Arabidopsis thaliana: one gene and its partners. The protein of the gene in region 1 interacts with the protein of each later gene in a biochemical or structural test. Each region holds a gene or a part of one and is shown in the gene's direction. Other genes may lie near its edges. The genes, in order: PAP1, TT8 and ATMYC1.

Region 1 (5,730 bases):
AAAAAAAAAAAGTCTACAAAGTCAAGGGCACTAAATCATAAAAAACCCAAAATCTCAGATCTATCAAGAAAACGACTATTCCAAAAATGGAAATTATAAGAACAAAATTCTTTGGACAGAGATCAAACAAGAAAGGAACGAGAAAAATGAACTTTAGGTACCTTAGATTATCCAAATTTGTAGCTGCAAAAGTTGTTCCTGTGTTCAAGAAAGAAAGACCTGTAAAATGATCTGGATGTGTTTGGTTATATATATAAGAAGACTTAAAAGATAATGACTTAATCTCGTAACGAGTCACACGGACGTGACGCTGAAACTCACACACGTTGGTGCCACGTCTTTGTCTTTCCTCTTTTGCTCTACTTTTTTCTCCTCATAGGTGATAGGTCCCATAAGCAATGAAATAAAAAAAATGGTAATTGACTTTTCTCCAAACATTTTCGAATCTGATTTTCTTTTTCAAGGTTTTATAACCTCTACATTCCAGAATATGACTAATGACATCATTATCCAATTATTTTTTATACTGTAAACTCATTATTATGAATATTCTTTATTTCAAAAAATTACCATTGATTTATAAGTTTATTAGTATAATATATAACATATGGAATAAAACTTTTATTTAAAAAAAAATATTTTTCCCCAAAAAAAGTAGGATTAATAACCTGATTAATAAATAAAAAGTGTTATATTTTTAAGCATTGTATGCATTTACTTTATCATAGTTGTCTTGTTTTTAAGAGTTAAAAAATAATGATGAACAATTTCACGGACAACGATTCCACGATAAAGCTTTCCCTGCAACACTCAGATTTTCTAAAGACGGTTTTGCATTGCGTTTTCTGGGATTCGAAACCCAAACATGATGTACAAGTATTAATGAACTCTTAGTTAACCATTAGATTAAAAATATTTTCACTATTAATTTTCTCTTAAAAATATTAATAATTTTTTGAAATCAAAAATTATAGTTATTTTATTTTAATAAACGAGAAACACTACAAAAAAAGTTAACTGCATTTAGATAATTTAATAAACTAAAATATCCACATAAAAATTTCAAATTTATCAAAAATAAAACATCAATTTGTTTTTTGTTTTAAATTAAAGATTTGCTATTGATTGCATAAGGAAGAAAACTTTACAAAGCCGAAAGGCCTAAGAGCCCAACACACACAAAAGAAGAACCATTTTGGATCAAGGGAACCGACCATGGGTATTAGAAGTAGTGGTATAAAGCCCATCATATCCCAACACATAACCCACGAATGTTTAATATTAAAAGTTTGTTGTTCGGCTCATGATTAGCGATGATCATACAGAAAGTTTGTATCTAATACGTGCCTTGAATTTTATGTGTACAACAAACAAATTAAATTATTCAAAACCATAAATTATAAAAAATAATTACAGAAATAAAACTATATTAAGAGCGAGCCTACCATCCGGTGTGCAACTTTCTAGTTTATATACAGTGGCGGATCAACGTTAATGAGGCAAATTGGTTCAAATTCATCTAAATAAGACTAGAGTTCACAGGTTCGATTCCTCCTTATAACAATTTGCTCCCACCAATTTTTTTTGCTGGGTCCGCCCCTGGTTATATATATACTTCTACACCAGGTTTGGGTTCGAGTCCACACATAATTAACGACACAATTATAGTGCACGATAGAATGAACTAAAACAGCTAGAGCGTAGAGGGCTCATTGTCTATAAAAATCCTTCGTTAACTTGCAAGAAACCAAGAGTAGAGGGCTCACACTTAAGTCTCCTACATGACGATTATATTTCGTCAAAAAGAAGCAATTAGTTAGCTTTACAGCATATCATTTCGCCTAGGTTTTCCATCGTACACGTAAATTTTCATGCAAGAAAGCAGAAATATACAAATACTAACTTTTAGATACTGAAAAATGAGATCAGATTCTAGTCAAATTTTGTTAAAAGTATTTATAAATTTAAATTGCAAGTCCTCAAAAAGTACGACTAAAAATGCTTTTCTTAGAAAATGATAATAAACCGGCGTTTTATATATAAGTGTTTCTTTTTCTCTTCTGTCCAGAAGTAAATCATTAAGAACCAATATGGCTTTTCTTAAACTAATCTCCGTGATAATCAAATCTTTGATCATTCTCCACACAATCCCATCAACAACATCGATCTCACTAGATGCACCAACAATGATTCTAATCGGCACTACTAACTATAGAGATAGTTGTCCCAAAAAAAAAAAAAAAAACTAACTAGAGAGATAAATCATATTCAATACATGTACTATTTCTACTATACTTAAGAAAATTTGTATACCACTATCTTAACTCTTAACACTGAACATACTATACACTATCTTAACTCCCAACTCTTGTAAAAGAATATCTAATTTTAAGAAAAGACTTCAAATGCTTGTTAAATTTCTAGTGAAGATGCACATTCTAAAAACTGGTAAAATGGTAAGAAAAAAATATATAAAAAAATAGCCTTATTAAAATTTATATCTCCTATTTCTCTATCCAAACTACACGGATGAAGCTTATTGTTATTCATCCACCCTTTTTCTCAATTCTGTCCTATTTCTTGTGCATGAAACTTCTCCATCTTGTAATCGGATAAATCATACCCAAATTTTTTCTTTCTGAAAACATATATACCCGAACATTAATTACTATCGTCCTTTCTCCTAATTTTGTTAAGAAACATGTTTGTTTGTTTTTAGTACTGAAAAAGGATGGAGATACTTGCTAGATCCTATGAACCTTTTCTCTCTAGGACAAATCAGTAACCAAACAATAACTTAGCAAATTAAGCACGACAGCTAATACATAAAATGTGGATATCAAACATGCACGTCACTTCCTTTTTTCCGTCACGTGTTTTTATAAATTTTCTCACATACTCACACTCTCTATAAGACCTCCAATCATTTGTGAAACCATACTATATATACCCTCTTCCTTGACCAATTTACTTATACCTTTTACAATTTGTTTATATATTTTACGTATCTATCTTTGTTCCATGGAGGGTTCGTCCAAAGGGCTGCGAAAAGGTGCTTGGACTACTGAAGAAGATAGTCTCTTGAGACAGTGCATTAATAAGTATGGAGAAGGCAAATGGCACCAAGTTCCTGTAAGAGCTGGTATGTTATTTACGAACACACACACACTAACCGACACACACACACACAAATATGAATATCTATAATCACTACCAATAGTCTTCGTTCTCTCTATTTTCTATTCAGAAAATTGATTAATACCCGGTATTAAAAAAAAAAAAAAAAATTTGTTTAAATGAGTACAAATCATTGTTACAACTTCTTTATGCTGTTTTTACATGCTATTAAAGGTTGTGCATGAAAATTTCTTTTGCTGTTCGTATTTGTTTTACACCTAAACGAAGATTTTTACTTAAAATTAAAGAAAAAAAATTATACTAATTTTAGTTACGTTGCGTATTGCTAGCTTCTCCTATAAAGTCGTTCAAATTTTTACACGCTTGTCTTCTTGTAAATGAATTCGTGGGAAAATTTTGTATGAACACGTGTTTCTGTGTTGGAACAGTTCTTTATTTTTATTGGTGTGCATAGATTCTTCCTGATAAAATATATAGAAGGAGACAAATAAAAAACAGTCTTAGTATGTAGGTATAATCAAAGAATCAATTATTGGTTTTGTAGGGCTAAACCGGTGCAGGAAAAGTTGTAGATTAAGATGGTTGAACTATTTGAAGCCAAGTATCAAGAGAGGAAAACTTAGCTCTGATGAAGTCGATCTTCTTCTTCGCCTTCATAGGCTTCTAGGGAATAGGTATTAATTGTTACCTCGATACTACTTAACTCGGAGAGTCGTCATAAGTTAATACTAATAACATATGTATATTTTCTTACAATTGTTAGGTGGTCTTTAATTGCTGGAAGATTACCTGGTCGGACCGCAAATGACGTCAAGAATTACTGGAACACTCATCTGAGTAAGAAACATGAACCGTGTTGTAAGATAAAGATGAAAAAGAGAGACATTACGCCCATTCCTACAACACCGGCACTAAAAAACAATGTTTATAAGCCTCGACCTCGATCCTTCACAGTTAACAACGACTGCAACCATCTCAATGCCCCACCAAAAGTTGACGTTAATCCTCCATGCCTTGGACTTAACATCAATAATGTTTGTGACAATAGTATCATATACAACAAAGATAAGAAGAAAGACCAACTAGTGAATAATTTGATTGATGGAGATAATATGTGGTTAGAGAAATTCCTAGAGGAAAGCCAAGAGGTAGATATTTTGGTTCCTGAAGCGACGACAACAGAAAAGGGGGACACCTTGGCTTTTGACGTTGATCAACTTTGGAGTCTTTTCGATGGAGAGACTGTGAAATTTGATTAGTGTTTCGAACATTTGTTTGCGTTTGTGTATAGGTTTGCTTTCACCTTTTAATTTGTGTGTTTTGATAAATAAGCTAATAGTTTTTAGCATTTTAATGAAATATTTCAAGTTTCCGTGTTTACATTTTGAAGAAAATAAAATATTAATATATTCTGAAGATTTTTGTTTTTTTTTGGTTATCTACATGACAACAGTAAAAATAGAAAAAAAATCTTATTTTTTGAAAAAGGTATGTATCCGGTGTTTAGAATACTTTCCGAAATCAAACCGCCTATATTTCTAATCACTATGTAAAATTGTAAACCAATTGGGTTAAAACTCAACTAACAAACTTTCTAAATAAATGTCATTTTTGTTTTCAAATATGATTGAACTCGGATTTAGGAGTTTTACCCTTCAGTACCAAACCTTCTCTACCGACCATGTATGGTTGGGCAAATGTCATGTTTTACAATGTTTAGATTACTAAACACTTTGGTTGAGAAGGCAATGCTTTATTTATATATTCTGAAGTCATGTTTTAGTGTTATTTTTATTTATTTTTAAATGCATAGATTGTTAACGTGCAGATTCTCATATGGGCTTAGTTTCTGGATTTTGATTATCAAAACCGTATTCCACTCTTAAATGATTACGACAAAAAAATCAATACTACTAACAAACCTATTTCCCAGTTATTAATTAGTCAATAACAATTGTCAAATTTAATAACGTACTTGCTAGTAATAAAGTTTTAACGACGATCATAGATAGGTTTTTGAAACCCATACTCGCAGAAGTTCTGATACAAAAATTTGTACTCCCTCTATTTCAAAATATTAAATGTTTTAGATAAAAGCACAATGTTTAAGAAACTAATTAATCTTGAGTTTCTTACATTATAAACATAAATTAATATCTATTAAAAATAATTTGACCAATGATATAACTTACAGCATAATATAAATAGTTAAAAAAAAACTGTTTACTTTAATAATTTGCATAACAACTAGCTAGTCTGGTCCAAGAACGGTAGTAGGATGAGATTTTAGAAGGTCGTAATGTGTAAGACTAATAATCATGCGATAGACGATCATGCATGAATTATTTTATGTAATACTTATATGGTTCCAAAATCTATAAGAACCCTCAATTATAAAAGTAATATCTATTAAATATTTAAACGATAATTTCATACGGAAAATTAATAGATAAATTCTTCTATTTGTTTTTAAATATATGTAAATGCGAAAGTGTCCCATGCAATTTTATATATTTAATCAAGTGAAAACTCGAAAACAAAAAACTTGATGTACTTCAAACAAGTTTTTTTGGCAAGTAATACCCATTCTGT
Region 2 (5,730 bases), on another chromosome or scaffold:
ACTTAAAACTATATATGTTATATTTATTATAAAAATAACATTTTTAAACAAAGTCAATCCAATGCAGCATTATATGCTAATAGTAAAAACATTGAAAAATATTATGACATCGCTTTTATACTATACTATTTCTTATGTAATTGAAACAAAGTATACAATTTAATTTATACAAAATATTAATGCTCGTGCTGTATAGCACGGGTTATGATCTAGTAACACTTCATTTCCAAAGGACAAATCATACCATTATATCCACCTTAGGATCATGGACTCATGGTGCCAGATATTTTGCATCATTGCCAAGCAGAATGAAAGATTTTCCTCCACAAGAGATTTGAGTTTATAAATATTTGGTGAGATTTAACAAAAAAAAAAAATATATATATATATATATATATATATATATATATATATATTTGGTGAGATAAGTCTTAACTTGCTACATTCAAAGAAACTAATTAAACCAAAAACCAAACACTAAAAGAATAGTAAATCGTCAATTTCATATTAGATGAGCTAATAAAGCATCACAGCAATAAATTTTGTCTATCTCCATCACTTACACCCTTTTTTTGTAGATAATGTAATTTCTTCCTCAAGATCTGAAGAATCATAAATCACATAGTTTAGTCAATGTTACAATACACACGACTAAAAGAAAAATTACAAAATTTTATTGATAGAATTTAAAATATACCACTAGACACTAGACTTTTGTCTTTTCATTAGTCATTACCGCTTGATATTTTTACTATCTTACGCATGTTATGAAAGATTATAAAGCTTAGGTTTTGGGTAGCAAAAAAGGGTTAGGAAAAAGAAAACCATACTATTTGTTATCCGAAAATGTCAAACTAATTCCTCTAACTGTGGTAAAAGGTTATAAAATCAAATCCTCTAGATTGATGTAAGTGATTTTTAAATCGTTATTCGGTCAGATCACAAGTTAATGATGAACTTTTCAGGGTTCAATACATGGCGATTTTAGCCATGGATCCCCAACGGGATCATGGGATTACGGTCCAACTGACCGGTTTGGACCGGGTCTTAATATATTGAACAAAATACAAGAAATCTCTCATTCACACGAATGATTACATTTCAGAAAAAGAAAGAAAAAATAACTCAAAAAACTTCACACCAATTTGCATCACACTATATTACCCATTATTTTTCTACAATTATGTGGTCCACTTTTCAAATAGTTCACTCTCATCATAAACCGGCCGGGGTCCTTCAAAGCTCATGCAGTTGTGCGTTGTAAAGATATATTGTATTCCAACAACTAATTCTTGCCAAAACACTTTTGGCTAATGTCATTTTCATTGAAAACAAAGCATTATAAATAGGAATGATTTGTCATTTCTGGAATGGAAGAACTTGGGTTTTAGTTAACATTTGTGCCTAACCAACCTCTCGTTTATGTACTAAAGCATTGTCCTTGTGATTGTGAATAACCAATCGCTCATTTCTGTGTTAGAACAGTATTGTTTATTTTCTGTTATTTGAATCATTTCCAATGAGAAATGAGTTACATAACACCTTTATTTATAAACACAAAGATGCACACAAGGAGAAGCAAAATCAATAAGAAGAAACCACTCCACGTGGCCCGTCGTCAGAGTTACATAATTGGTGAACGACTAAACTCAGAAGAAACAACATGTAATAAGAAACACAGAAGCAGAAGCAAAAGCCAAGCAACATTTATTTTGTCGACAAAAAAGCCAAGAAACATTCAATGTTGATTTTGTCTAAGTAACCAGGTGTACATACATTACCCTTAACCATACCCAAAATCGTATGTACTACGATATGTGTACGTAACAGTATCTATCTACATTTATATTTTATAAGACATTATTAAATGGGAAACTTATAGTGGCTAGTGGCTGCTACTTGGCTAGCAATTAACATCAATAATTTAATAACTCAAATGTGAAACATCTCATTCTTCTCCTTTATTACACCAAACCATTTCTCATTCTTTACTTACCGGTCAGGTCAACAATTCTACCATTCCCCATCTTTGGTTAAGTTTATCTTTTCATTTTAAAGAAAATATATATGAATGTTCATCCAATAATTCCAACTTCTTAAAATTGTTAATGAACATTTTAATCAATATATAATTTTAATATCAATTTTATAAATAATAGAAATGTGAAAAACGCAATTTCTTTGCTCCTTGTAGCAGTAACACAAGTCAAAGCAACATTTGTTTTCATTTGTTTGTCAGTTAGCTATTTTATCTACAATAATATGTTATGCTTTCTGAACAATAAATAAATATAGCATTATTAGATATATTCATTCTGTATTTTGATTTGTCCAATTAGTATATGACACGTCTACAAGATACATAGATCTTTCATTATTTCACTTTCTCATCCAACGTCTGGTGAACCAACCATTCAAAAATCAAAAGTCAACTTTTAATGCACTTGAGTTTTGGTCATGCATTCATATACATACATATATACATAGAAGTCATTACATGCATTATACTTTACTTATGTCAACATGTTGCAAAAGCACTAAGATGATATACGTATACATGCATATTGCAAAAATCAGTGGTCCCATACCATTTTAAGTCATCATGAGCGTATGAGAGTAAATTCTTCTCACATATTAATAACAACCCTTCAAAGTTATAAGATTTTTAGAGAGAGAGCTACCACGTTTTCGTATCTCCGGGAACGATGGATGAATCAAGTATTATTCCGGCAGAGAAAGTGGCCGGAGCTGAGAAAAAAGAGCTTCAAGGGCTGCTTAAGACGGCGGTTCAATCTGTGGACTGGACTTATAGTGTCTTCTGGCAATTTTGTCCTCAACAACGGTTAGTTTCTTATCTCTATAGTTCATTCATCTCTCACAATACAACCATAATATCTATATCCGTATATATTATGTAAACTATATGTTTAAATGAATTCGGCTAATTGTTGGCTTGTCGTAGTGTTACAATTCGATCTTGAAATAATTTTTTTTTTTTTTGAAGGTTTTACAAAATTTATTAAGATTTTTGAACTACTTATATGAAAGTATCATTGTTTAGGGTCTTGGTGTGGGGGAATGGATACTACAACGGTGCAATAAAGACGAGGAAGACAACTCAACCAGCGGAGGTGACGGCAGAAGAGGCGGCGTTAGAGAGGAGCCAACAGCTCAGGGAGCTTTATGAGACACTTTTAGCCGGAGAGTCAACGTCAGAAGCAAGAGCATGCACCGCATTGTCACCGGAGGATTTGACGGAGACAGAATGGTTTTATCTAATGTGCGTCTCTTTCTCTTTTCCTCCTCCATCTGGGTAAACAACTCTCTCCCTATACTCAAGTTTCTAAATTTGTTCTTTCTTTTTTTTCCTTCTCTAAGTGAAGACAAAAATAGTATTGTGTGTTAAATGCGAATATCGAAAATATTGTGTTGACATTAAAGAGAAACTGAGGAAGTTGAGTTACTAGAATAAGAAAGAAATGAGAGTTAATGAAACGTACACACACTACATTTTCATGAACATTATTGCGACCGTTGAGATTCTCATTGTTTGGTGATTGATTATCTAAAGTAGAAGCATGAATAGATATAACATAAATGCATAACAAAATGGGTTAGTTATGGGTATACTTCATGCTTTTCTCTATGTGGTAAAAAAAAATCAAATATAAATTTGGGAGGTAGTAATTTGTAGGATGCCAGGAAAAGCGTATGCAAGGAGGAAGCACGTATGGCTAAGTGGTGCAAATGAAGTTGACAGTAAAACTTTTTCTAGAGCTATTCTCGCTAAGGTAAATTCTTTTATTCATTCACCAACTATACTATGCATCTATTTTTACCTATTTATGTATACACTATACTATGTATCTATCTACTTGTAAACCTATTTATCTATACTTTTATACATTTTCACTGATTAACTTGAATAATTCTTCTTGTCGTTTTATGGGCCTTTTACGTCGGTTCCTCAATGACTTAGAGTGCTAAAATTCAGGTAAAATTTGTCTTTATTAGTTTGCTCTTTTTAGTAAGATTTGAGAATTGTATTCTGATGAAAATGTATTTTAAAAAAGCAGACAGTGGTTTGCATTCCAATGCTTGATGGTGTTGTGGAACTAGGCACAACGAAAAAGGTAACGTTGTATATACTCTCTCTTTTATTTACTTGTTAATGAAATATATAAACAAAATAACAAAGTGAATATAGCCTATCTTTCTTTAGGTTTAGTAATGTTAAATTAAGGAGATGCACTACAAAAAAAAGGTTGTTTTACATCATTTATTATAAATATTTGCATTAGTTAAAAGTGATGTAAAAGAATTTTGTATCACTTAAATAAGTGACTTAAATATTGTTGATGCAAATAATTTGCATCAGTTAATTAGTAACTGATGTAAATAATCAAAATAATTACATCGATTATTATAATTGATATCAATATTGTATCAGTTACTAAAAATGATGTAATGTTTACATCAATTTATTTAAGTGATGTTAGTATTTGTTTCGGTTTAAATAACTGATTTAATTAATATATATATAATTATTAATACAATGTTATTAATATTTCAAATAATTATTTTATTTATTTCTTTTTTTTTTTTAAATAACAGATCATTGTGGATAATTACTCGTTGGAATATCTACTAAAATTTTATCAAGATTTAATAAAATATTTTACATGAACAATAAATCTTTATATAAGATAAGCAAAAAAATAATCATAATTTGGTTTTGGTTTCTTCGTGTTTAAACACATCTTTCTTCTGTTCCATGCTTCTTCCTTCCATTAACTGTTGGTTCTTCTTGAAAAATACCATTTCTTCTTCTATGCCATCTCTCTTCCATTTACAGAATCAAAATCATACTTTGGTTATAACTTATATCTCTTGAATCCTCATCACACTTGAGTTTCTGCTGTACAAAATAAAAAAGAGAGTAATTGTTTGAAAATTTACAGAATTGTTTTGGTCGGAATAAGAATAACCATTTGTAAGTATTTTTAAAAGAAAGTGATAGAGTACCTTTACTTTGTGTTTCTCCAAACTGTGTAGGAAAACAAACAGTCCTAATGATCAATGGCAGATTTCTGAAAATAAAAGAAAAGAAAAAAACTGAGCAATGGTTAAGAAAAAGAGAAAGATAGAATGATAGAAAAATAAGAAAGTACTTGTCGTTGAAGATGAAGAATTGAATGAGAGTTATGAGATTTCAAAAACTAATTTGAAGATATTCTAAAAACGTTTTTGGATACAAAACTGTAAAAAAAGATCGTGAGCGTAAAAGCAGGATTTATAGTGAAGGAAACAAATATATTTAGTTAGCTGATTTTGAGGGAAAATATAGGAATTAATAATAAATTATTAACCCAATATGATTATTTATTTATGGTAATAACAATTTCTCGTCATCTACAATAAATTCAAGTTAGTTTTTTGTTTAAATTAAAATACAGAAAAACTTATTAGCATCACTTCTTATTGATGTATAATTTTATATCATTTTTATAAACTGATGTTAATAAAATTAAGTGAATACATCGGTTATTTAATTGGTGTAAATACAGATTTTTGTATCAATTTGTTAAAATGATGCAAACTAATACAAATTTCTATCAATTTGATTAAAGTGACGCTAAACATGTTAATTTATACATCACTTATTATAATTGATGTTTAATTATTTATTTTGTGTCATTTGCTTATAAGTAATTTAAACTTGTACCATTT
Region 3 (5,730 bases), on another chromosome or scaffold:
GTATATGCACATCATCTCCAACATTGCCTCCACATTCGTGAAACGACATAACAACCTGAAGTCAATTCAAGTCAAGAACACTTTAAAAAGGTTCATCCTCAACTCTGCATATCTTTCACTAAACTGAACTGAGACTCATCGATCAAATAACATTACCTGAATCTTAAGTCCAAGCTCACGAATCATCTGAAAAAGTTTCTTGTAACCACTCCAGTTATAAACCTGTGGTGTATGTGACTCAACAATTCCCCACCAGCAGTCAACCATAACACCATCAACATTAACCGACTTTAAAGTTCTTAACTGATCCAAAAGCTCCTCCGGTTCCACCACTTCCGAGTTCATATCAATCACTCCCAGCTACATCATTCAACAGCCAAATCAACCAAACACACACACAAATCTCTAGCCAACAAAAATAAAATCAAAAGAAGACTCACTGGTAGCATAACATATACAGGAACACACGCTGTGCCAGCAAAATCACGCTCTTCGAAATGCACAATTTCTTCATCAACCTAACAAAACGAAGAGTAAAATTGATTCTGGTCACAAACGAGTGAATCATCCAAATGAAATTCCACACTTACGAGCTGATCAGTAGAATCGTCGTCGTCATCAATTGGAACTCGATCTTCCTCAGTACTCTCTGCTCTCAGTTTCACCTTCGCGAGAACCAAAGGCCTAGCACCGGAAAATGTAGAAACACCACGCCAATCTCCAACGCTGAACGGTAACGAGCTCCGAGCCGATACTCTCGTCGGAGCTCCAAGCTTCACGCTCACTGGAATTACACTATGATTCAACCTAATCGCCATCACTAAACCAAAATTATCTCAAATTCAGTTAAAATTGGATTTTCGTGGAATGTGAAATCAAAAGCCACGTGAAGGCTTATTCATGGGATCCAAGAATCATTGGTTGGTTCAAATCAATTTTGAAATCCTAAAAAAGTTTTCAGGATTCACTCAGATCCGTTGAGTACAAAAGGGTTTTGTCTTTTACCACTTTTTTTCTAATCCACGTGGCGTGACCTGACACGTCAGATAAGTACGCGCGTTGCAACTTTATCAAGGGGCTTTTGTGAATATTACTATGGGCTTTTCAGAATATATTATTGGGCCTGTAAAGTCACGTCACTAAAAAAAGTAGTTTATCTACATCAAATGTGTTTATTATTTAATAACTTTAGTGTGTTGTTGTACTTGCACGAGTGTATATGAATTTAGAATAATACTATCTTAAACAATCGGCTAAGCTATTTATAATCTGTAAGATTGATACTAACGATGTAACATTAATGTATTAATCCGAAGACAGTCGTGCATTGTAGTGGCAAATGTTGTATGTCAGATGTGTCGCGTCTGTAATCAATGCGCTACGTCTCTCTGTCTTAACAAAATCATTGAAGCTTTAAATTTGAATTTCATTATTTTACAATTGCATTTCTCTCGTAAGTCGTAACTTTCATATTCATTTTTTGAAGATTTTTTAAGGATAAAATGTGAATTACTATTACCAAAAGAAACATTGTTATTTACTTTGGGACAGCTTCTAGATATGGACCCCAACAAAAAAAAAAAAAAAAAAAACTGAAACTAATACAAGTCAAGACCCAACTATAGTAACTAGGTTTGGGTGAACCATTGGGACAACAATCTTCCACAACCTTTGCGATATTGTCACGGATGGTTATGTCAATCTGCCACAAAACAATCTTAGGAGAGAACTTGAAGTGTTGTGCAATCTCTCATTTCTTTCTCTCCGAAGAAAGAAAATTGTTGCTTGTATAATGAGAATTAAAGACTTCAAGTTCTCACTCAACTTTAAATTTATCTAACTTTTCTCTTTGTCGTGGTTCATGTCGCTTCTTTTTCATCCTGAATGCAATTTGATATAGGATCCCATTGGTTAGGATTGTATATGTTTTGTAAAATTTAGGGTAATATATAGACTTTTATACTATAATTTTATTATTATATACATTTAAAAAATGTCTAGGGCATCTAAAATTAAATTAATTGTTTCTATGAAAATAGAAAATATAAACACAAACATATGGCTATAATGAGTGTGTTGTGCCAACAGAAATAATTTATAAAATTAAACACAAAGTTTTGTCGTTATGGAAATAAATGTGCATGCAACCACAAGTGGTGCGTTACTAAATTATGTAGGGCTTCGTGGATAGAGATGGATCAATTATTATTTTCACGAGTTTCTTGCCTTCATTTCAGCCAGCTCTCTCCTGATCTTGCCTTCAATTTTATTACTATTTTTTTACTGCCACTTGCTATATTTACTTACTTCGGACAAAATAGTGCTTTGATGGTAAACAAATAACGATCGGTATATGCGATGTCTCGCGATTGATTATCAAACTTGAACAGTAGTGTGTATTTGTTTAATATATAATCTATTAGAGTATCATGGAATTATTCGGGTGAAATGCGCATTTATATCTATCATAGAAACTAGAATCTTCACTATCCAAATAGTATATTCCATTTTCTTGCAACTACGTATAACTACATTCTGTTTGTCATATATTTAAGATCGAGTAACAAAAAATTAATCATCTTCATTGATGTGAGCCAGACAAAGAGTTCAATTTTTTTGGTTGTTAAAGTATGTTGATACTTGATACGTTTACCAAAACACAAAAAAACAATGTAGGTCGATACGTTCCATTTCCACACAACAAGATAGATACAAATATATAATGATTGTAAGACAATAAGACCCCGACATGTCTTAACACGAAAAAAAAAGTAACTAAGTTTATATAAACCAACACAAGTTTAACTAAGAATCTAAGAATCTCTACTTTGTTGATTTCATAAGTGTATTCATCTAAATTAGTTATAAGTACAATGTAATATCAACATGTATTTATATTGTCTCTTGTTGGATATTAACTATCCAAACCAAACCTATAATATGAAATCATCAAAACATTAATCATTATGGTCAAACTATCTCAAGTTGTATTCTTTAAAAAGTGTCACGATAAACTCTAACATCATAGTGGATTTAAGACAACACAAATCCAAAAGAGTTAAAAAGATCGGTCTTAAATTTATGATTCATATCCATGCATGATGTTGGCCAATCACCTAGTATAGTAGTAATAACCAAGCTTTTGACTAAATGAATAGGAGGAAACAAAAAAACTATATTGAATCTTTCTTTTTGCAATATTTTTCAGCATCATCACTAATTTAGAGAATATTTTACCTTGGTTTTCACCAAATAGAATCCAACACTATTACCATATGTATTGTATAAAGATAAGTCACTCCAAAAACCAAGATCATGACCCAAGTCAACCACTCTCTCTCATAATTCAGACACAGTACTCAACTTTAAAGACACTCTTTTAAGACTTTCCATCAGGACCAAGCTGAGAAAGAGAAAGCAATAAAGAAAGAAAGAAAAGGAAATAAAGCTTCAATACCAAACCCTTCTTTAATAAATTTTGCCTTTTGGTTGTCTCCTCTTTATCAATCACTTTGGTTCCATACTTTTAAATTCAGTTCTTCACGATATCTAGATATGTCTTTGACAATGGCTGATGGTGTAGAAGCTGCAGCAGGAAGAAGTAAAAGACAAAACAGCTTATTAAGAAAACAACTTGCTTTAGCTGTAAGAAGTGTTCAATGGAGCTACGCAATCTTCTGGTCGTCTTCACTTACTCAACCTGGGTAAGTATAATCTAATATTCATCATGTACCAAAATTATCAGATCTTGTTGTTCTCATCTTTGCATTTCCATTTTCTCTTCTTTTAAATCTTGGGTTACTTATGAGTACTATGTTCTACTAATTTAGGGTTTTGGAGTGGGGAGAAGGATGTTACAATGGAGATATGAAGAAGAGGAAGAAGAGTTATGAATCTCATTATAAATATGGGTTGCAAAAAAGCAAGGAGCTTCGGAAACTTTATTTGTCTATGCTTGAAGGAGACAGTGGTACTACTGTTAGTACTACTCATGATAATCTCAATGATGATGATGATAATTGTCACAGTACAAGTATGATGCTGTCACCAGATGACCTCTCTGATGAAGAGTGGTACTATTTAGTCTCCATGTCCTATGTCTTCTCTCCTTCACAATGGTTTGTTCTCTCACTCTCTCTCTCTCTTCTCCTATGAATTTGTACACTAAAATATATTAGCTCTTGTGAACTATTCATATAGAAAAACCAATTTGCAATAAAGAAGTAATGAGAAATGTCCTTTCATTTTAAGATGAAACATCCATCACTTTGGGTAAAGAGTTTAGTACCACCAAAACCATTTGGTAAATAGTGGAGTGATTATTCCTTTGGGGTTCCTTTTTGTTACACTTTCACCTTTTGCATTTTAAGTAATCCTAGATTAAGTTTTTTTTTTCTCTTTTATGATCATTAATTATTGTCATTTTGGCTTTTTTGGTTGTTTATGTATATACTTTAGTTTGCCTGGAAGAGCTTCAGCGACGGGTGAGACCATATGGCTCTGCAACGCTCAATATGCGGAGAACAAGCTCTTCTCTCGTTCTTTGTTAGCAAGAGTAAGTTCTCAGAAACTTCTAATTTCCTCTTCTTGAATCTTGATATATCAAGATCGAATCTGACTAAAAATCTCCTTTGATCTTCTTTGCTTTTCATTACTGTTCATATGGCTTCTCTCCTTTAGAGCGCATCAATTCAGGTACGTTATAATGTTTGTTATAACTGGATTCTGATTGTTAGAAATAAAAGTTTAGTTCTCTTATTGTTAGAAATGAAAGTTTAGTTATCTATATATCAATTTGGATAGAAGATTTATAGAATGTATCTGTGTTGTTATCTCCAGACTGTTGTGTGTTTCCCTTACTTGGGCGGAGTCATTGAGCTGGGCGTCACTGAATTGGTAACTCTCCATCTTAATATATAAAGTTTTACTTTTGTTGCTTGCTTCACAAGAATTAAATATACCTTACTTTGTTTAATTTTGTTCATGATCAATGAAAGATTTCAGAAGACCATAACCTGCTTCGAAACATCAAATCTTGCTTGATGGAAATATCTGCACACCAAGACAACGATGACGAGAAGAAGATGGAGATTAAGATCAGTGAAGAGAAGCATCAGCTTCCATTAGGTATTTCTGATGAAGACTTGCATTACAAAAGAACCATTTCAACAGTACTCAACTACTCCGCAGATAGATCAGGTAAGAACGATAAGAACATTCGTCATCGTCAGCCAAATATTGTTACTTCTGAACCTGGCTCAAGTTTCTTGCGGTGGAAGCAATGTGAGCAGCAAGTCTCGGGTTTTGTTCAGAAAAAAAAGTCACAGAATGTGTTGCGGAAGATATTGCATGATGTCCCTTTGATGCACACAAAGAGAATGTTCCCAAGTCAGAACTCTGGTCTGAATCAAGATGATCCTTCAGATAGAAGAAAAGAGAACGAAAAGTTCAGTGTCCTTAGAACTATGGTTCCCACTGTCAACGAGGTAATAACTCTTTTTCTAAATCCTTAGAGACAAGACTGTGTTTCAGAAGCCAACACTCTGTTTTGAATCTTTGTGCAGGTTGATAAAGAATCGATACTAAACAACACAATCAAGTACCTGCAAGAACTGGAGGCAAGAGTAGAAGAGCTAGAATCTTGTATGGGATCAGTTAATTTTGTAGAAAGACAAAGAAAGACGACAGAGAACCTTAACGACTCTGTGTTGATCGAAGAGACATCAGGGA

Evidence for each region.
Region 2: the proteins of PAP1 (region 1) and TT8 form a complex in vitro, tested with the Arabidopsis thaliana proteins (one study listed by BioGRID).
Region 3: the proteins of PAP1 (region 1) and ATMYC1 form a complex in vitro, tested with the Arabidopsis thaliana proteins (one study listed by BioGRID).

What each region holds. Positions count from the first base shown.
Region 1 is NC_003070.9:21,232,381-21,238,110, reverse strand, and holds PAP1 (production of anthocyanin pigment 1), read left to right. Parts: upstream 1-2,818; 5' UTR 2,819-3,021; coding exon 3,022-3,142; intron 3,143-3,682; coding exon 3,683-3,812; intron 3,813-3,901; coding exon 3,902-4,397; 3' UTR 4,398-4,556; downstream 4,557-5,730.
Region 2 is NC_003075.7:6,179,362-6,185,091, forward strand, and holds the start of TT8 (basic helix-loop-helix (bHLH) DNA-binding superfamily protein), read left to right. Parts: upstream 1-2,519; 5' UTR 2,520-2,705; coding exon 2,706-2,842; intron 2,843-3,061; coding exon 3,062-3,313; intron 3,314-3,694; coding exon 3,695-3,791; intron 3,792-3,979; coding exon 3,980-3,994; intron 3,995-4,076; coding exon 4,077-4,133; intron 4,134-5,730. UniProt on the Arabidopsis thaliana protein: Transcription activator, when associated with MYB75/PAP1 or MYB90/PAP2. Involved in the control of flavonoid pigmentation. Plays a key role in regulating leucoanthocyanidin reductase (BANYULS) and dihydroflavonol-4-reductase (DFR).
Region 3 is NC_003075.7:217,510-223,239, reverse strand, and holds the start of ATMYC1 (basic helix-loop-helix (bHLH) DNA-binding superfamily protein), read left to right. Parts: upstream 1-3,458; 5' UTR 3,459-3,555; coding exon 3,556-3,704; intron 3,705-3,830; coding exon 3,831-4,118; intron 4,119-4,458; coding exon 4,459-4,555; intron 4,556-4,680; coding exon 4,681-4,695; intron 4,696-4,839; coding exon 4,840-4,896; intron 4,897-4,997; coding exon 4,998-5,486; intron 5,487-5,564; coding exon 5,565-5,730. Other genes in the region: BAM2 (beta-amylase 2), read right to left, coding at 1-55, 157-360, 441-518, 591-818. UniProt on the Arabidopsis thaliana protein: Trancsription activator, when associated with MYB75/PAP1 or MYB90/PAP2.